Schizosaccharomyces pombe: one gene and its partners. Changing the gene in region 1 together with any one later gene gives a genetic interaction. Each region holds a gene or a part of one and is shown in the gene's direction. Other genes may lie near its edges.

Region 1 (7,012 bases):
GATGCTTTTTCTTCTGCTGCATTGGCAAACATTTTTCTGAAGTGCTTGGATTTTTAAATTAAAATGCAAAGCGTCGCTTTCAATTTATCGGTTTCACTTTTTATTGTTGTATAATTTTTTGAGAAGAATATTAGTCTAACCTTTAGTTTGCACAATCGGAATGTAAGTATCAATAAATTAAGATTCTTTAATATATCTGTTGGAATCGTTCTTTTTTTTTTGGATGCACTACACCTTAAATTTTTAATATATATGCGATAATTGTACTCAGAAAAGCAAATGATAGCATTTTGGAATTCGCTTCAGACCTTACAGAGACTATTCAAAGTATTCTTGGAATTTAAGTTTGCAGCTTCGAAGAAAGTCGTAACTATTTTCTAGAACTGATTTTTTATTTCATGATAACGTTAAAATTTGCCCAGCAATAACTGTATTTTTGTGTACTTTACCAATAGCAATTTAGATTTTAACTAGCAAATCAAAGAAATATGGAGTTGTTGTCCTTCTCCATGCTTAATATTGCAGCCATATTTATTCTTTACTAACTCATCACCTAGCGATGTTTCGATTCCGTGTCTTTAGCTAAAAAATTGTTATGGTATAAAGATTCACGGATCGGCCGTTAAAATTATTCAATTACTTAACCAATAGAAAGGCCCCAGATTCGATTGCTATACCACTACATATTCGTTTACAATAATACAATATTACGGTTGAAGTATTTTTAAACAGCCAATCATTTTTTTTATTTTCAAAGCAATTTTGTTTAAGAGAATAAGACAGAATATTATTTCATAGTAAAAGTATATAATTATATTCTAATATACCGATATTGTAATGACGATAAATTATTTTTTAAACTAATTTATGGCATGTTGATAAAGCCAATGAAGGGACTGAGTAAATTGTATACCTCAAGCAAAAATTCGCTAAGCAAACGACAACTTCATCATAACCTGATGTTGAGTATGTTGTTGACGAGTAATCCCTTGTTTAATTTTTGTAAAACAACCGGATATCGGAAATATAGCAAAGGGATGAGAGCGATGGTACAAAAGTTGAGGTGCCACATTGGAACAATATTTAGTCATTATCCGAAATTTGTTATCCGTTTTTTAATTCCGGATGACATCTAAATGAATTGGGAGTTAATAGCCACTGACACGTACACTATAGAGTTAGTACTTGATTAAAAAAAAGTAAGAGAAATAGAGCAATCCTCAACCTTGTTAACTTTTCTTATGAGGTGTTAGCATTAATTCTTGTGTTCAGTCTTGCGCTCATGTCCGTTACTTGTGTAAAAATGTACGATATGTCGTCCCATATTAGTAAATGCCATGAATTATCATCCATCACTGATACCAAAATAAACGGTGATGATGAATTCAACAAATTCAAAATATCGTTATACACTGGTACTCATAGCTATTCTGTTTCCCTAGTGGAACATGTTATTCTCTTTCCTTCTCATATCTCTCGTAATGTGACGTCAAATTATAATATTCGTGTAACGAAACCAATCAGCAACCAGCCTTTCAATCAACCAATCACATAATACCTATATGGTCGAAAAATATGATAATATTGCTTTAAAAGTCATAATAGTTTTGGATGAGCGAGTTCAACTTTCAAGCTAGTCATTCAATTTAACGTTTTAATATAATTTACCTAATTTTTTTTAAATATAGAGAATGAATTTATGAATGAGGGGCATATGGTTGAATTTGAGATTCTATATATCGCATTCGAGATTTAGTAATATTGTAGCATTTCATTCTAGATTAACATAATAAATCACACACTAGCATGCTCTTGACTACTCTCTTACGCGGCAACGTAGATAACGTACATCAAAAATTTTACATTCGAATGGTGTTTTATTACGATTAGTTTAATATTTCGGCAAAGCAATTTGAATTTCAGTAAATGTAAAGGATTCTAGGCACTTACTATGACGTTGAAAAATAATATAAATATAAGCTTGCTTTCATTAAAACAACATCGTTAGCGAATAAATTCTAATTCACTTTTTCCTTCATTTGAATTTTTATTCTACTACTTTAAAGGTCTTTCATTAACATAACGACTGGCTAGAACTGCATTTTAGATTGCTTACCTTATATCAAATTCCAATTATGCTTAGCAAAAAATTTACCCCTTTGTCTTTGAAAAATGCAGCAAAATGCATAAATAATAGTTTGCGTTCTACTTATGCAATTACTGGAGTAAACCTTACGAGAGGACTAGCCACAAATTCAAAAGTTGATCCTAAAACCTACGCTCCTAAACCGGAATTTAGCTCGATTGCCGTTCGTGAAATGCTCCGAAAGTCATGTCTGCATGAATTCACTGATGAAGAGGTTGCTACGCGTATTGAGTTAGCTGCGGCATATCGTCTTTTTGGTTTAGAACATTGGAATGAGAATATTCTAAATCATTTGACTGCCAAGGTTGAGGAACCTGATGGAACCGCTTCATTTCTGATTAATCCTTATGGTTTACGATATGGTGAAATTACCGCTAGTAGTCTTATTAAGGTTGATGAGGATGGAAACATCAAACATCCTGGTGTTACGGGTGATGTTTTTGGCATCAATCGTGCTGGCTATGTTATACATAGTGCGATACACAGGGCTCGTCCAGATGTGAAGAGCATTATGCACAATCACTATCCATATGCTGCTGGCGTTTCATGTGTTAAACATGGTTTCCTTGAGCTTGCTCAAACTTCACACCAATCTGGTCCTGTCACATATCACGATTATCATGGAATTGTAGTTGACAAAGGCGAACAAAAGAGTTTGGCTGAAGACATAGCAAACAAGGATATTTTGATACTTCGTAATCATGGAATTATTACTGCTGCCGAGTCTGTAGGTGCAGCTTACTATTTAATGTATCAATTTTTGGCCGCCACGGAAATCCAAACGCATGCATCAGCAAATGCTTTGGGAGACATGAACAATCTTTTCATTCCTAATAACAAACTTGTTGAAAAAACTTTTGATGTTACCAGAGAGAAGCATTTCTCGGGTGCTAAATATGGAATTAAGGAACTTTCTGCCTATATGAGGTTACTTGATGATCTTGATAGTTCATACAGAACTTAAGATGATGTATTATTTAATTTCGTCTTTTATCAGAATTTATCACAATAAGATTTATTTGACGAGCGTAAATCCACTGAAAACTGAAGTTGAGAGCTTGTTCTACTTGACTTAATCAGTCATTAAATTTATTAATATTCTAAATCGCATTCTTTTATTATTTTTATTCACAGAAATATGAATACATGAAAAAGGAATTTTTTTTAATTTATATAATCCGACAATGCAAAAGCTAACGAAATTACACCTTAGGACTCATATTGTATCACTTGCTTCTTACCGTATTAAATATGCAACTGCAATCATTTTGCAGCCAATGTAAATGACTTTATCGTAAAACATGCATTCTGCATGAAATATCCTTGACAAAAGTTAGTAAAAATTTTATTATACATTATTCACAAATGTTTTTTACCAATAAACTTCTAAGTTACTAGTCAGAATTAATCCTGATGTTTTACTCAAATTTACTTCGTTTTCGACACTCAAAAACAATTAGAAGTTAATAAAAACTTTAACAAGGCAAGTATTCGTTGCAACTCCTAACGACAGCAATACCATGGTTTCTTAATGTCACTATACGCTACTTGTTCAGTTTATTTAGAGTACATACAGTGCGACATTTGTACCGACATATGTTACTAATCATATAGCAATTATATCGATAGCACTATGATTAGACCAATTCTAACCCTTCAATTCATTTGTGGTTAGTTCTACCTAAACCCTTCACACGAAGAATATCTTCAATGCCTGCTGTTCATTCCACCTACATACCGCAGTACAATATTAATAAAATTATCACAGAAGCGTATATTTAAAAGGTGATTTTAAACTGCGTAGCTGTCAGCAATACTGCACTACGTTGCGTATCACTATATGTCACATGTTCAACATCATATCGTAGATATCCGTTGATAACAAGTATTTAGAAATATTATAAATAGCGTTACAACTGAACCTCGTTCCTCAGTTCAGTTATGAGCTATATTATTGATAGGTAACATTATAACCCAGTTAATACAATACCTATACTCAGTTGCTTCTCATACAACCTGTGTATTGTAATATAATAGATCACAAGGAAAACTCACCACAGTTCTACGTATCCTTAAATCAGATACCAAACTGCGTAGCTTACAATAACTGAACTCTTGTGATCTACAATTAACTCTTTTTAAGAAAAAGGAATTATTGAATAAATATATATCATAAATATATATATTTCTCTCCTTCTGGGTTCAAAGGAGAAAGAACTTTGGAAAGACTGTTATCCCTTTTGAAATCTCCCAAAAGGGAAACATATACAATGTCCTACGCAAATTATCGTTATATGAAAGCAAGAGCAAAACGATGGAGACCAGAGAATTTGGATGGAATTCAAACATCAGACGAACATTTAATAAACCTTTTTGCAAAAATATTATCGAAGCATGTACCAGAGATAGGGAAATTCGATCCTAATAAGGATGTTGAAAGTTACATTTCAAAACTTGATCAACACTTTACTGAATACCCTTCATTATTCCCAAATGAGCATACTAAAAGACAGTATACATTGAATCACCTAGAAGAATTAGAGCAACAATTCGCTGAACGCATGTTTTCTGAGAATGGAAGTCTTACATGGCAAGAATTACTCAGACAACCAGGGAAAGTACAAGGATCCAACAAAGGTGATCGTTTAACTAAAACATTTGAAGGTTTTAGAAATCAATTGGACAAAGTTCAATTTATAAGGAAACTCATGTCAAAGGCAAATGTTGATGATTTCCATACTCGCTTGTTTATATTATGGATGCTGCCATATTCCTTAAGGAAATTAAAGGAAAGAAATTACTGGAAATCGGAAATCAGTGAAATTTATGACTTTTTAGAGGACAAAAGAACAGCCTCGTATGGTAAAACTCACAAGCGTTTTCAACCGCAAAATAAAAATCTAGGAAAAGAGTTCCTTCCAAAGAAAAATAACACCACTAATAGCAGAAACCTGAGGAAGACAAATATTTCGAGAATAGAATACTCATCTAACAAATTCCTAAATCATACTAGGAAACGTTACGAAATGGTATTACAAGCTGAACTTCCAGACTTCAAGTGCTCAATACCCTGTCTAATCGATACGGGCACTCAAGCAAATATTATAACAGAAGAAACTGTTCGAGCACATAAACTGCCTACCAGACCCTGGTCAAAAAGTGTGATATATGGTGGAGTTTATCCAAATAAGATTAATCGCAAAACAATAAAACTTAACATAAGTCTAAATGGAATATCAATCAAAACAGAATTCTTGGTTGTAAAGAAATTTTCGCATCCAGCTGCTATCTCCTTCACAACATTATATGACAATAACATTGAAATATCTAGCAGTAAACACACGCTCTCTCAAATGAACAAAGTTTCAAATATTGTCAAGGAACCTGAGTTACCAGATATCTATAAAGAATTCAAAGACATTACTGCAGAAACCAATACGGAAAAGCTACCAAAGCCAATAAAAGGGTTAGAATTTGAAGTTGAACTAACTCAAGAAAACTACAGATTACCTATCAGAAATTACCCGCTACCACCGGGAAAAATGCAAGCTATGAATGATGAAATTAATCAAGGATTAAAAAGTGGAATTATACGAGAATCTAAAGCCATTAACGCCTGTCCAGTAATGTTCGTTCCGAAAAAGGAAGGCACCTTGAGAATGGTGGTTGACTACAAACCTTTAAATAAGTATGTCAAACCCAATATATATCCGTTACCACTTATTGAACAATTACTTGCTAAAATACAAGGTTCTACAATTTTTACTAAACTTGACCTCAAAAGTGCCTATCACTTGATACGAGTAAGAAAAGGAGATGAACATAAACTTGCTTTTCGCTGTCCTCGTGGAGTTTTTGAATATCTAGTAATGCCTTATGGCATATCTATAGCTCCAGCACATTTTCAATACTTTATCAATACAATACTTGGTGAAGTCAAAGAATCGCATGTAGTATGTTATATGGATAATATTTTAATTCATTCAAAATCGGAATCTGAACATGTAAAACATGTTAAAGACGTTCTACAGAAATTAAAAAATGCGAACTTAATTATCAATCAAGCAAAATGTGAATTTCATCAATCACAAGTAAAATTTATAGGGTATCACATTTCGGAAAAAGGATTTACGCCTTGTCAAGAAAATATAGACAAAGTCTTACAATGGAAGCAACCTAAGAATCGTAAAGAATTACGACAATTTCTAGGTTCTGTCAATTATCTTAGGAAATTCATTCCAAAGACATCACAATTAACACATCCACTCAATAATCTTTTGAAAAAGGATGTACGCTGGAAATGGACACCAACACAAACCCAAGCGATAGAAAACATTAAACAATGTTTAGTTTCTCCTCCGGTGCTACGACACTTTGATTTCAGTAAAAAGATTCTACTAGAAACTGATGCTTCAGATGTCGCTGTAGGAGCCGTATTGTCTCAAAAACATGATGATGATAAATACTATCCTGTTGGATACTATTCAGCAAAGATGTCTAAAGCACAATTAAATTATAGCGTATCGGACAAAGAAATGCTTGCAATCATTAAGTCTCTCAAACATTGGAGACACTATTTAGAATCCACTATCGAACCTTTCAAAATTTTAACAGACCATCGAAACTTAATTGGTCGCATTACTAACGAATCCGAGCCTGAAAACAAACGTTTAGCTCGTTGGCAATTATTTTTACAAGACTTCAACTTTGAAATTAACTACAGACCTGGATCAGCAAATCACATAGCTGATGCCTTATCCAGAATTGTTGACGAAACAGAACCAATTCCAAAAGATTCAGAAGACAATAGTATCAACTTTGTTAATCAAATCTCGATAACCGATGATTTTAAAAACCAAGTGGTTA
Region 2 (7,012 bases), 2.4 Mb from region 1:
TTTGTCCCATCACCATCCCGTACCGATATCCTTACTACACACTATTCCTACTAACCCTCTAGCTTATATCCTTGTGAAGGAAAAGCAGAAGTTAGATTTGTAAATAGAAGGTGTTGTTTATTTTTTCTAAAATAGAAGATCACATATGTAAGGGATACACTGTATCTTGTGAGTGCGTATTAAACTCTATTTGAAGATATTAATTGCACAATCCTGTGAGTGTTGTGCTGTTACTGTCTCTTTTTTGGTTTTTCTCTGAAATTGATCATAATTATTGACGATTTTACTTTTTTTCGAGTTTCAAAATATAAAAAACAAGTTTTTTTTTAGTAGTTCATCTTACATGGGTGGTGAACTTCTGAATACTTTAGACTATACATACAATTTAGACGTACATATACGTACTTACATAAAGAAAGAGGATTTCGATTACTTCATTTGTTTAGATAAGTCGAAAAATCTATTTTTGCTAGAATATTGATCTTTATTTTCTTCTCTCATTTCTCTCTATTTTATTTCTGAAGGATTGATCAAAAAATGGGTTTACCAGTTCATAACCAGCCCCATAAAGCACACTCGGGCTCTCCCGCATCTACCTTTTCCGCTGCTCTGGTTTCTTCTGCCATTAGCAATGTTATTGGGTATCCTCTTGACTCGATTAAAGTTCGACAGCAAACTTACAATTTCCCAACCATTCGCTCTTGTTTCCAAAACGCTGTTAAAAACGAGGGATTAAAAGGTTTGTATCGTGGTCTTACTCTACCATTGATATCAGCCACTCTATCGAGGTCAGTATCATTTACGGTGTATGATTCCTTAAAACTTACATTTGCTCATGTGGATCCTACACTTCGGTATTTCATTTCCGGGCTTGGGACTGGTACTTTTATATCACTTTTTGCTTGTCCATTCGAGTATTCAAAGTTATATTCACAAATTGACATGCTTCTTCGCAAAACAAATATGGGCCGTCGGCAAGAGACAAATTCCAAGCTAAGTGTCAGACCTCCCTTGTCATCTTTCCAGAGCGCTTCTGACATTGTTCGGAGGTATGGATTTACTGCATTATGGAATGGGTATCGTTATCATCTAACCAGAGACGCTCTAGGATCGGCTTGTTATTTTACAATATACGAAACCTTTAAGAAAAATCTGATAGCGAATGATGTGAAGCCGCATTTTGCTTATGCCTTCTCTGGTGCTTTTTGCGGCGCTTTGTCTTGGATTTTGGTATTCCCGGTGGATACAGCCAAATCCATTGTACAAAGAAATACACTCTTATCAATTAAAACCCCTTTGTCTTCCATTCCTTGGTTATCGTTTACTATATATCGAGGTATAGGTATTTCATTGATGCGAAGCGCTCTTATAAATTCTTGCAATTTTACGCTTTTTGAATTATTTCGGGAAACTAAAGTATTAAGCAAATAGTTTTATTCTAGTTTTACGAAGTCTTTGTTGTCCATTGAGTCGATAACCCGTCGGAATGCATTTCTATACATATTTTAACTTGCATTCGACTTGCGGTTGAAGTTTAATCACATTTTAGAACTGGTTTTGTCGTATATATTTAAAGTCCCATGGAATACTTTTACAATTTTTTTGATGCTATTTATTTTTTATTAAAAGCATTTTTACCTTCAAAAACTCCCCTCTCATCACTTTTCATATCATGTGCTGCTGTTAGTTTGACAGTAATTCCACTGAACTTGTTATACATTTCACGAGTTAACCGTTTCAATCTGAAAGTATATTTTCTTTTCCTCTTTTCCCTGTTTTTTTTTGTTTTGTTTTGCTTTTTACGTCCTGTTTTGGTTAATCCAACTCTTTCAATATCTGTATGTACCTACGCTTTTTTTTCTTGTATAGTTGAATTTTGTTTTGTAGATTTTTGGTAGAGGTGTAAATTGGATGAAATTTTTGAGACTAATAGTCCTTCTATTTCAGCGATTGTTTATTTGGGCATTTAAAACTTTAGCTATTAGATTTAGTATGTTTAATGTACTTTCGGACAATGCTGGCTTTCTTACTCAATACATGCTACCTAAGTGAGTTACCACTACCATCCACATATATTGTGAAGGAAGAACAATGTCTCGAATTTTGGTACGTTATACATTGCTTTTTTTAAGAATTTAGGAGCTAATATATAGAAATCACTAAGTCGTAGTTATTCGACCACCTCCCCTCGTCTTTACGGTATGAAATGACATTTTGATTTTGATGAGATTACTAATGGCAATTTAGTCGATGTAGTACAGGGTTTATATATTTCTTCTTTAAGTATGTTATTATATTCTCTTAATTTACCAATTTCTTACACGTCGTGTCTTAGAATCATATAAGCCTAAAGCTGTCCCTTCCGAAACGGCAGCTGAAGTAAAGGAATGGTCCATGCCTAGCGCTCCTACTGCTCCAAAATACGATGTTGACTTTACTTCTGCTTTAAACTCTTACAAGTATGAGGGAGAAACCATTCCCACTAAGGCTGCTGGAGAAAGCAACAAATTTGACTTTCTTGAATCAGTATGTATCTCTTCCTTTACATTGCATCAGCTAACTTTTCCTTCAGTATGAGAATGAAAAAGAACATTAAATTTATTCACTGCTTTTCCTATGCTCAATTGGAAGATGTTTGGTAATTAACTTTGATTAAATTTTGCCTTTTATTTTCCGATTATGAATTTACATTTTCATCTACGTCGTTGAGATTTGATTTTATATCTATTTCATGCCTTTGTCTGATCCTTCTTTTGATTGACCACGAACGTGGATGTATCTCTATAACTCCCGTCTCACTATGATTTATATTCTAGGTTAACGTATCCTTTTTCTGCTTTCTAAATGTCTTTGAACATAGCTGAATTCAATGCTTAGTCGTCTCTTCGATTACGGCACGAAACAGTTGTTGCCTTGATTGATAGAAAACCACTTTCATTGAGTTGAGATGTTTTTCTCTTTGCAAAGTATTTCTATTGAGTTCACATTTGGATTTTTTTTTTCAATTTATATCAACTCAATACAATTGCTTTTATTCAACAATAAGGATTAGCTTGATAAAATTTGATGTCTACTGTGGGTCATTAAAAATATCAGTAAAGTTCACAGTAGTTTTCTTGGAATTGTAATTTTTTTTCTTAAAAAAATATATAATTCACTATTATAAGGTATTTAGTATATTTTCATGCCTAGTCTCATCGTTTTGCCGATTGAGGCTTCATATATAGCAGTAGTATAACTTGCTTAGTACTATCCACCTCACATCCAACATGGAGCAAGTCATTCAGAATAATTGCTCTGAAGTAGACCCTCATGTCCTCAGCTACTGCACTGGATATGCTAATGATGCTATTAAAGATGTAGATGAGGCTTCAGACCATACGATCTCTCTCATTCGTAATTTATTGCTAGATGCTGGCGCTCGTGAGGAAGCGGTACAGCTCATACAAAACGAACTAGAGAAACAATTTAAAGAAAGAGAGGAACATCTAGATACATTACAAACGAATGGACTTGTTCGTTTGAAGGAGACTATTCGAATGGATTCCCAATCCGAAATTTCGTCAACTATGGGTTTGGTTGGCGAAAAGATGGAATTAGATGCTGTAAAGGGCCGTAAGGTTGAATCTAGGGTAGATAGAAGAAAATTAGAGAAGGCTGAACGGAAGATTCGTGCCAAATGGGAGAAACGTACTATCAAAGCAGAATACGAATCTTCAAAGTTGGTTCAACCCGAACAAAAGTCTTATGAAGAGTTTTACATGGCTGTAAATCCTCTAGATTTATCCGGAAGTAACCAAGGAAAATCGAAAGATATTAAAATTGATGGAATTGATCTTGCTTTTGCTGGTCATCGTATATTGACTGGTGCTTCGTTGACACTTGCACAGGGTAGACGATACGGTTTAACTGGTCGCAACGGTATCGGTAAATCTACTCTTCTACGTGCTCTTTCTCGCCGTGAAATTGCGATTCCTACCCATATTACCATTCTTCATGTTGAGCAAGAAATGACAGGTGATGATACACCTGCCCTACAGTCAGTTTTGGATGCCGATGTTTGGCGCAAGTATTTGATTCAGGACCAGGAAAAGATAACTAATCGTCTATCAACGATTGAAAAAGAATTGGAAGAACTTAGTAAAGACCAAACTGCTGATCAAGCTATTTCCCGTCGCCTTGAGCGTGAACGAGACGAACTTGATTTACGGTTGTTAGATATTCAAAATAAGCTTTCCGAGATGGACTCTGATAGAGCAGAATCACGCGCTGCTACTATTTTAGCTGGTCTTGGATTTACTCAAGAAATGCAAAGCCATGCTACCAAGACTTTTTCAGGTGGTTGGCGTATGCGTTTGTCATTGGCACGTGCTCTGTTTTGTCAACCAGATTTACTACTTTTGGATGAACCTTCGAACATGCTTGACGTTCCCTCAATTGCTTTCTTATCTGAATATTTACAAACTTATAAAAATATCGTTTTAGTCGTTTCACACGATCGTTCTTTCTTGAATGAAGTTGCTACTGATATTATTCATCAACACTCTGAGCGCTTGGATTACTATAAGGGTAATTTTAGTCAATTCTATGCTACTCGTGAAGAACGTTGCAAAAATCAACTTCGTGAATATGAAAAGCAAATGGAATACCGCAAACATTTGCAATCATTCATTGACAAATTTCGTTATAATGCTGCCAAATCATCCGAAGCACAAAGTCGTATTAAGAAGTTGGAAAAACTGCCGATCCTTGAAAAGCCTCAAACTGAGGAAGAAGTTGAGTTTGAATTTCCACCTGTGGAAAAAATATCTCCTCCTATCTTACAAATGTCTGATGTCAATTTTGAGTATGTTCCAGGTCACCCTATTCTCAAACATGTTGATATTGATGTTCAAATGGATTCTCGTATCGGTGTGGTTGGTCCCAACGGTGCTGGTAAATCAACAATGCTTAAGCTTCTTATCGAACAACTTCATCCAACATCTGGTATAGTTAGTCGGCACCCCCGACTTCGTATTGCATACTTTGCACAACATCATGTCGATACTTTGGACTTAAACTTGAATGCCTTAAGCTTTTTAGCTAAGACATTTCCTGGCAAAGGTGAAGAAGAATACCGTCGTCATCTTGGCGCTTTTGGTGTTAGTGGACCTCTTGCATTGCAAAAAATGATCACGCTTTCTGGTGGTCAGAAATCTCGTGTTGCGTTCGCATGCCTAGGTCTACAAAACCCTCACATTCTTATTCTAGATGAACCCACCAACCATCTGGATATGGAGTCCATGGATGCCTTGACAAGAGCTGTTAAACGCTTCCAAGGTGGTGTGATTCTTGTTTCTCACGATGTTGATTTCTTGGACAAGACATGTACCAGTATTTGGCAGTGTGACCATAATGTCGTCTCCAAGTTTGATGGAACAATTTCACAATATAAGAAATTCTGTCTATCTCAACAGCCAACCATGACTATAAAAACTTAATGGAATAGCATAGACTTAAATAATAATAATATAGCTGGCGAGGATAAATAAAATCAAATTCTTTTATCTATGAATCTGGATAAAATATGTAAACGAAGTTAACTACATTTTATACAGTAAAAGACATGAAGTGTTAAATAAGATTAAAACAGTAAATTAATTATAGCTAAGTAAGTCATAACACGGTAATGGACAAGAAACCTGGAAAGCATGCAAATCATCAACCAACACCCAAAAAATAAAGAGAACAAACCCAATCAATTAAAAAGTAAAGAGGAGGAAGGGGAGAAGAGGAGAAAATAAGGCGGACCAAGGAAATCAATAGCAGAAAAAAAAAGAATATACAGACTAGTAAACAAAAAAAGAAAGAGAAAGGAAAAAGTTAACTCATTAAATTCGTTTAGGAACTTGACTAGAAAACCTCGAAGGATTTGGAAAAAAGGACATGGGAAAAGACGTAGGGCGAGAGATTGATGGAGAGGAGGAAGATGAAGGTTGAGTTTTGACGGCGTTGAACGATTTAAAATTCTGAGAGGTGAAAGACTTTGGAGGAAGAGGAATGGACGGATAGGTATTAGAGGTTAAAGGACGCTTTGTAGAAGTATTAGTAGCGTTAGAAGAAGAACGTCCAAGGGGATGCAATTGGGGAAAGCTCCGAGAGGATGAAGTAGCTGAAACAATATGACGGGTAGCAGAGCCTTTTTGAGAAAATCACTTTTAGCTCTCGCCATTAGAGAACTTTTTGGACAATAATTACTCATGGGACGCGGACGCTTAGGAGGCCGAGCAGCTCTAGGCTCACGCTCTAAAGGAACAATTCGCTTGTTTTGTTTACTTTGCTCTAGCTTGGTGTAAGCACTTCGAAGCTTAGCAGAAGCAACGTTATAATGAGCATTTCTTTTTTTCTTAAGTTTTCCGTAGAGCCCTCTCCAATCATCAATATTGTTCAATATAGTTCGTTTTTGAAGTTCTAATCCAAAATCACGCAAAACGTGATCTTTCCACAATGGTTGAGTGTCAACTTTCAAATGAGGCGACTTTTCTTCCAAGTCTATTAAATGTTCTGGTCTAGCTTTTTCCAGGATAGGTTTTACGAGTTCGAATGGGCAATCGCCAATATCATCGATGTCGTGCACATGCTTCTGCGCGACTTGGATGCACAAATCTTTTAAAGAATACATCGCTCATATGATAGTAATTTTTAAAAATTTCAAAGAAAACGATCGAATTAGAGCTCTATAGTCTTCAATTGGAAGAGTGCTTTTACCTTATTTGAATGTAAACAAAACCAATTCAACGGGGGAAAATGTGTTTCAAAGAAGGAAAGGTCCAGAATCTATCGATTAGCTAAATTCCTTTCCTTGTTAGTATATGCGTATAAAACGCGGAGAATCTAAGTGCGAGTAAAAAAAAATTCCAGATAATTGTTTGTTTCCGACAAGTTGAAAAAGACGGCGAAGCAAACCTATTTGTTCACTTATACAAATATATTAAAAAATAATTAAAATCTTTAATTTGTTAACTCGGTAAAA
Region 3 (7,012 bases), 1.3 Mb from region 1:
CTCATGGTAAATTTTGGGAATATGACAACACGGAGTTTCCCCAAATTTTGACTGCCGAGTGGCATAAAGCGTTCGGAGAGTTGCTGGCTTTTCATGACTATGTTGTAGAATAAAAAATGAAGGGGGGCGTTTATCTTTAATGTTTTCATGCTTCATTATTTTTTTGTCCCACTTCCATTCCTTGACCTGTAACTACGGTGTACCTGTTGAAGAGCTTAATACATATCTCACCGTGTATATTCTTACCGTTAAAGTTTGTTCTTTTCACATAATTTCTGCATTCAATTTTAAACAAAAAAAGACACATCATATTTTATTCTTCTTTAGAAGGGTCTACCGGTGTTCGGACTAATTTTATATTTTACATGGCTGATTACAATTTTCTTGTATGAAGCTGATAATCAAAATTTTAAATGTGCTTGCAGGCATCTTACAACATTTTTACTCTTATGACAATTACATAGGACTCATAACAATAATATTCTTTCACTATCAACAATATAACTACACTTCGGTAGTTAACTGTAACTATAAAAAATCTTTCTATTTTAATCATCACAAAGACTTATCTCACTGACCAGAAAAGTAACTTTTCTTCATGACCTTGCACTCCAAAAGCTACAAATAATGAGACAGGCATTAATAAGGTCAAGTCTAGCATAAGCATTGGGTATCAGTATAGTCACGTAAAATAAAAGGAAACGTGAAGTACTTAGTGAGTAAATACGGGAATAGGGTTAGCAGTATCAATGGCAAAAAATTTACGCTCCATTCCATCTTTATTTAAAATGACCATTCGAATGGTACCACCACTGCTGCCATCGCGTTCCATGGCTAAAGCAACAGCGTTCTTTAAAAATTCAACAGCCTCCTCTTGGGTCATATTTTCGCGAAAGTTAGCATCGCAAAATCCATAAATAAAAGCAGAACCACTTCCTCCAATAGCTAAAGGTTGCTTATGCAAACTACCACCTAACGGAATACTGTAAACATCTCCCCCAGTTTTTTCATCATATCCAGCAACAATTAAACCTGCACTAAGCATATTTTTGTTTTGATAACACATTTCAGAAGCTAAAGTAGCAGCTGTATGAACACTAGGGTCATGGCCAAATTGAATACTTCATAATCGTTAGATAATTTTTTTAACAACAATAAAATGAAAAATAAAACATGCAAAAAGGCTTTAGTAATCATCTAGTAAACATAAGGACTTGAGAGTAAGTCGATAGTTTATTCTAAAGGATAAACCAGCTAAAGCAGCCTTAATTTACAGTCATTCGGTTCATTCAAGGGTAACTTACCGATACATGGAAAGATAGTATTTTAGAAGATCAGCCACAGTTTGCGTATCAGCAGCAGAACCACTGCGACAGCACCAAATATTGTCTGTCAGCTGAGTCAGCTTATCAGTGACACGATTTGCAATATATGCACCTAGCAACGTTAGAAATCAAAGAACGAAAAGTTCTGATATTCCAATACACACCCATAGTTGTTCGAGAATCTGCAGCAAGTATAACGCCATCTTTATAACGGAGCGCCGTGATGGTGGTACCCATACGAATTTCTCTACAAAGTCAGAACTTTCAAAATCAATTTCCCGCAATCATACCCCTTTTTAATAGCATTAATGTCAACATTCATAGTATCTTTCACAGTAGTGGCCATTTTCAGAAGTTTGGTGAAAGGTTAAAATGATTAGGGACTTGTGTATGGTATTGAGAAGCAGCCAAAATTTAGGTAACATTGCTACCTGCATATGAAATTGCAGTATGAATATAAAAAATTGTTATTCAATTGTAAAAAGTGTTGAAAGAATTCGTATATTTTTTAAGAAATTCTTTAACGACTATAGATAAGGGTATAGTATTAAAAATTTTTGATCAAAAGTTACAGCCGACTACAGAGTTATAACCATGGATTGAACTTGAAAGTGCTCAGCTAGAAATTAACATAGGAAAGAATGAAAGAATCTAAAAGTTTGGGACTAAAAAGGTTTCTGAAGATTTTGTTTTCTTAATATTTGACGACTGCTTATATTTGGTTTACTTACGCAAATAACATGAAAAAAACCATAGCTATTGAAGAATGAAAATAATATGACCATGATCTTTTAACAAAAAATGAAGATATTGGAAGTTCGACCTGGAATGATGTATATATATTTACGAGAATTTCTTACGACGGATCTTCTAAACTGTGAATTAGGTATCATGTTATGTTTCATTTCTAGCGAAGCAGAATTCCAAGCAATATTGAGGTGATAGGGGATGTTCCAAATTCTGTTAATCGCCAAATTAATTTTGGAATTAAGGCAAGAAGCATTTCATTAACTACAGTGTATTTTGCTTATTTTAGTAAGGCAGTATCCCAAAGACAACTGGCTTTCTAAAAATCTCTTTTGTTTAGGTGTCTGTTATTTCAACAATATGTACATATATATATTTATTTATAAACTATTTCAAACATATTCAAGCAATTTATTGCTTTTTAGAGCGAATATCGCCATGGATAGCTTAGCGTGAGCTTAAAACATTGAATTAAAAAAATTTTCATTGCCGTTCCAAATTGTATCGCTTTCGCTAATGCTATAAACACCCAAAGCAATTTTTTTGTACTACCATCTTCAGGTCATATCGAAGTATCATTAATGCGATGTAAGACTTTGATGGGTATGATAAGGCTATCAAGCTGCTTAATGAGCATTTTTTCTTTGACAATTCGACCTTTAATTTATTGTTTACATGGCATATTCTACGTTTTAAATTTATGTAATAATGACGAGGATTGGAGAAATAGGGTACTCTACTTAGTGTTTACATCCTTCACAGAACACAACTCCAAGGCCAGCAACTCCACAATTAAATGCACGGTGTTTCAGTTGGAATCGAACAGCAAACGTAAAGTAACTCAAACACAACTTCATTTTTCATGAAAACCTCTTTTATAAATGATGGATCTGGAGCATAAACGCATTAGCCGAAGTACATTGCCGGATTATGCGGATCCCGATTACTTCGAGGCTAGAGGTGAAAGAAATCCGGTAAAACCTCAGTCTTCCAACGTAGTACCAGGAACAAGTCATATAGGATCGATCAAATCTCCGGCGGATTACGTTTTTGGTGACATTATAGGAGATGGATCATTCTCAAAGGTAAGTTGATACATTGCTTCTCAGTTCAGAAGTTTTTCAACCGCAGGTCGATTAACCTATGGACCTTCGATTACTGACGAATAAGTTGTCTAATATTCGTTAGGTGAGAAGAGCAACTGATAAAAAGAGTTGGAAGGAGTACGCTATCAAAGTCCTTGATAAAAAATATATTGTCAAGGAAAATAAGGTTAAGTATGTGAATATAGAGAGAGATTCTATGATGAGACTTAATGGGTTTCCTGGTATCTCTCGTCTTTTCCATACATTTCAGGATGATTTAAAACTTTATTATGTGCTTGAACTTGCACCCAATGGTGAACTTTTGCAATACATCAAAAAGGTATATTTTTTCATTAGTCTATTCATTTTTCCTTTATTAACTAAGCTTTGGTAGTATCGTTTTCTTGATGAGAATTGTGTGCGCTTTTATGCTGCTGAGATTTTATCAAGTATCGAGTATATGCACTCCTGCGGTATAATTCACAGAGATCTCAAGCCAGAAAAGTATGTTTGAGTAGTGGTCATTAAATGTTCGTTTCCTTTTCCTAATTCTAACCTATTTTTTAGCATTTTATTTGATGGAAATATGCATGTAAAAATTACCGATTTCGGCACAGCCAAAATCCTACCCCCTAAATATGTAAATAGCCCTGATTACACTACCTTTCCAAGCTCCTTTGTTGGCACTGCGGAATATGTTGCTCCTGAACTATTGTCTAGACAAGTTGTTTCAAAATCGTAAGAAAACCTATTATCCCAGTCTATTTTTTTTCTGACAAATATTTAAGTTCCGATTTATGGGCTTTTGCGTGTGTTGTTTATCAAATGATTGTTGGTTCCCCTCCTTTTCATGGCAGCAATCCTAATAATATTTTCAAAAAGATAATGAGCCTGGAATATGAGCTTCCAAAGCTCTTACCACCTGATATCGTTCCTTTGTTTAGCCATCTTTTCCGTATTCAGCCATCTGATCGATCTACAACCCAACAAATAAAACAATTTCCTTTTTTTGCTACTATTACTTGGGACAATTTATGGACTCAAGATCCTCCTCCTATGCAGTCATTCCGGCCTAATTATAACATAGCCATTCCTAATGCTCCTGCTTATTATCGCTCAAATGTGACAGCCGCAGCTGCTGCTAATGCTGCCGCGGCATTTGCTTCTGCATCCATTGTAAAGCATCAGGAAACTGCTCGACGTCAGGAGCTTCCTACGGTAAATCGTTTCACTGCTCCAACTGCTCATTATGGCTATGCTTCACTTCGAAGCCATCAGATGCCTGTTGACAGACTTTATTACAAGTTGGTTCCATCGTCTGAGTCGATCATTGAATCTACCTCGGTCTTCGTATCACCCATTCCAAGTGTACCTGAGGGTAATAAGTTTCCATCTGGACTCTCAAAAATGTTTTTGAAAAGAAAGCAAAGGGTTATGCTATTAACTGATGTTGGTCGATGCGCTTTTGTTTGTAAAGGAAAACATGAGAGACTTTTTATCGAGATGGAGGTGAACTTGAAGGATTCCAGTGTTGTAGTGATTTTTGATGAAAATAGTTCCAAGCGATTCTTGATTGAAGATAAGGTCCAGTCCTGGATAATAGAAGACAGTTCCGGGGATGTCACCAAGTATAAAGACAAAATCCTTAAGTTTGCTGATGTTGCGTCTTCTCATCAATCTCGTTCTTCAGAAGAGAATGTAGAAGAGAACGAGGAAGAGTAACCCCATACCTTGTTTTATTTGATTTTTCAACCCATTTACTACCTTCTTTATATTTTATTATTTGTCGTCAGTGTTTTGGTAATATTTAACTATTTAAGCTATACATAATTAGAAATTACGACGCACCTAGGAAGTCGCAAGATGGAGAGGTATTATGTATACATATATATGTATAGTATTTATAATATATATACTTGAATTAATTTTATGTTAAAATTCCATTTCTTTTGGTGAGATGTTAAAATTATAATATTAGTAAGAAGAGAGAGTTAGATAGGATCGATTTAAAGCGCATACTCTTGATACCAATAAAAGTTTTGTGGTATCAAGGAAATAATGTTTATCAACGTTCCAAATTAAAACAGAAAAAGAAAATGATAAATGTTCAGGACCCATTATGCTAAGCTCTGTGATATCAATCCTCATCTTGTTGACATATGTTACATCATGTGGGCCACAATTAATAAAGCTATTAAAAAAGAGTTAGAAATATCAGTTTCTCTTACTTTTAGAAGAATTTTCAGAAGGCATTTTTTCCCAAAATAATTGAATTCTAGCAAGCAGGGCGTTATCGTTTTGAATGGGAATAACACCTGACAGAGCTTGCATTACTACTTCAAAGTCTGCATCAATTAGCGTGTCCCACATTCCTTGTATAACCGCAAGAGAAGTGGCTTGCAATAACCTGACAGTTTGACCTTTGCTTCCACCTAATAAAAACAGGAGATCCCATATACGTAATTGAGTATGGAAGGGCACGCATTGATGAAAAACAGTGAGATACCAACGTGTAGCAAAAGCAGATGGTTCTGCTCCAATTTCCGCCAGATGTCTGCCTGATTGTGTAAAACTTAACTCATGCTTAAGCATGTCAAAAGCCTTTAAAAGTGTATCAAACCCGGAAGAAAACAAGTCCCCCATGCCTCTATTTTCCAATAAATTTACCATCATTATAAATGCTTGTTCTTCGGGATAGTAAATGAGCAAGGTCGCAGCAATAGAAGCCATTCCTTGAACGTATCCAACACGAGGTATATAGAGAGCTACAGCATGAAGAACTCTAAATAGTAAACGTTGCCCTCCAATGTAGCGTTTTCGGAATAAGAAATGTGTAGCAGCTGTTCTGGGAACATCTAGGTCAATTTGAACATCATAGTCACAAATCTGCTCGTTCAATTGGTAATACTTGTCAATCAGTTTTTTATCAGGAAGAGAATCCACAAGAAAGGACCACCACGCAATAGATCGCCAACAATCTGGAATCCCCTTAAATGTACGTAAAATTAACTTACGAGTTTTTCGAAAAGAATGGAGCTGATTACCGGAAACGAGGTGTATTGAACACATCGATTTCCATTTTTGAATACGGGAAAGCTCTTTAGCTGATATTTCGTTGCGGTCATGCGACTCGCCGGGAACAACCATGAAGATGCTTTCATCAACGTACTTCAGCATGTCATCATGGCCGATTAATTTATTGCCAAGACGTTTGGCAGGGTTTGGTTTATCTAATGTTGGGTCTTTACTAACTTTATAGAACCCTAAATTATTAACATTAAAGTCTGAGCGATAGTTTCCGTAACGATCCACATTTTCCAATGACTCTTTTGTATCGATTTCTTGAACTTTTCCATTAATAGGTTCTGGTATATTTAAATTATTCTTGTCTTCTTGTAACCTGTACAACGACCGAATTCGTTGCAAATTGGTTGTTCTAGTTGGGGAAGGGTTTTCCATGCTCTTTCAGATATATCCTCAATTCCGTCACTCTGGAGAAAACAGATTACCTACTAAACTGTATTAAAATATCCAACACAGAAAGATTTAACAGGGGGGAATTGTTTCCGATGTAGTAATGTTTACGGTCCCAAAAGACCGTCTATCCCCATATAAGTCAGTACGTTAGATCCCAAAATCAAAATAACCAAACATGAAAATCTTTTTTTGACGTTTTTATAATTTTTCAAGCAATAAATGCATTCGTGCAAATGCTTATGAATTTGGTTCTCGCTACAAATTTATTGGCTCTATGTCATTTCCATTGATGAAAACTAGTTATAAAGTAGAGACCGAGACCCGATCACAAAACAAAAAAACGACACGCTATATTGCTTTACTGTAATTACATAGCTT

What was found.
Region 2: mutations in SPOM_SPBC1289.14 (region 1) and gcn20 together harm fitness less than expected from each alone (positive genetic interaction), as found in Schizosaccharomyces pombe (one large-scale study listed by BioGRID).
Region 3: mutations in SPOM_SPBC1289.14 (region 1) and pdk1 together harm fitness more than expected from each alone (negative genetic interaction), as found in Schizosaccharomyces pombe (one large-scale study listed by BioGRID).

Annotation. Positions count from the first base shown.
Region 1 is NC_003423.3:4,410,241-4,417,252, forward strand, and holds SPOM_SPBC1289.14 (adducin), read left to right. Parts: upstream 1-2,000; 5' UTR 2,001-2,135; coding exon 2,136-3,110; 3' UTR 3,111-3,359; downstream 3,360-7,012. Other genes in the region: Tf2-11 (retrotransposable element/transposon Tf2-type), read left to right, coding at 4,417-7,012.
Region 2 is NC_003423.3:2,052,682-2,059,693, reverse strand, and holds gcn20 (AAA family ATPase Gcn20), read left to right. Parts: upstream 1-3,251; 5' UTR 3,252-3,269; coding exon 3,270-5,480; 3' UTR 5,481-5,553; downstream 5,554-7,012. Other genes in the region: ort1 (carboxylic acid transporter), read left to right, coding at 538-1,431; atp14 (F1-ATPase subunit H), read left to right, coding at 2,092-2,106, 2,154-2,199, 2,248-2,283, 2,336-2,526, 2,573-2,596.
Region 3 is NC_003423.3:3,112,328-3,119,339, reverse strand, and holds pdk1 (serine/threonine protein kinase Ppk21/Pdk1), read left to right. Parts: upstream 1-2,830; 5' UTR 2,831-2,953; coding exon 2,954-3,157; exon of another isoform or gene 3,158-3,260; coding exon 3,261-3,497; intron 3,498-3,551; coding exon 3,552-3,661; intron 3,662-3,724; coding exon 3,725-3,895; intron 3,896-3,945; coding exon 3,946-4,879; 3' UTR 4,880-5,109; downstream 5,110-7,012. Other genes in the region: alpha-1,3-galactosyltransferase Otg3, read left to right, coding at 1-113; proteasome core particle subunit beta 1 Pre3, read right to left, coding at 713-1,121, 1,305-1,437, 1,490-1,572, 1,616-1,671; SPOM_SPBC1778.09 (GTPase-activating protein), read right to left, coding at 5,372-6,616.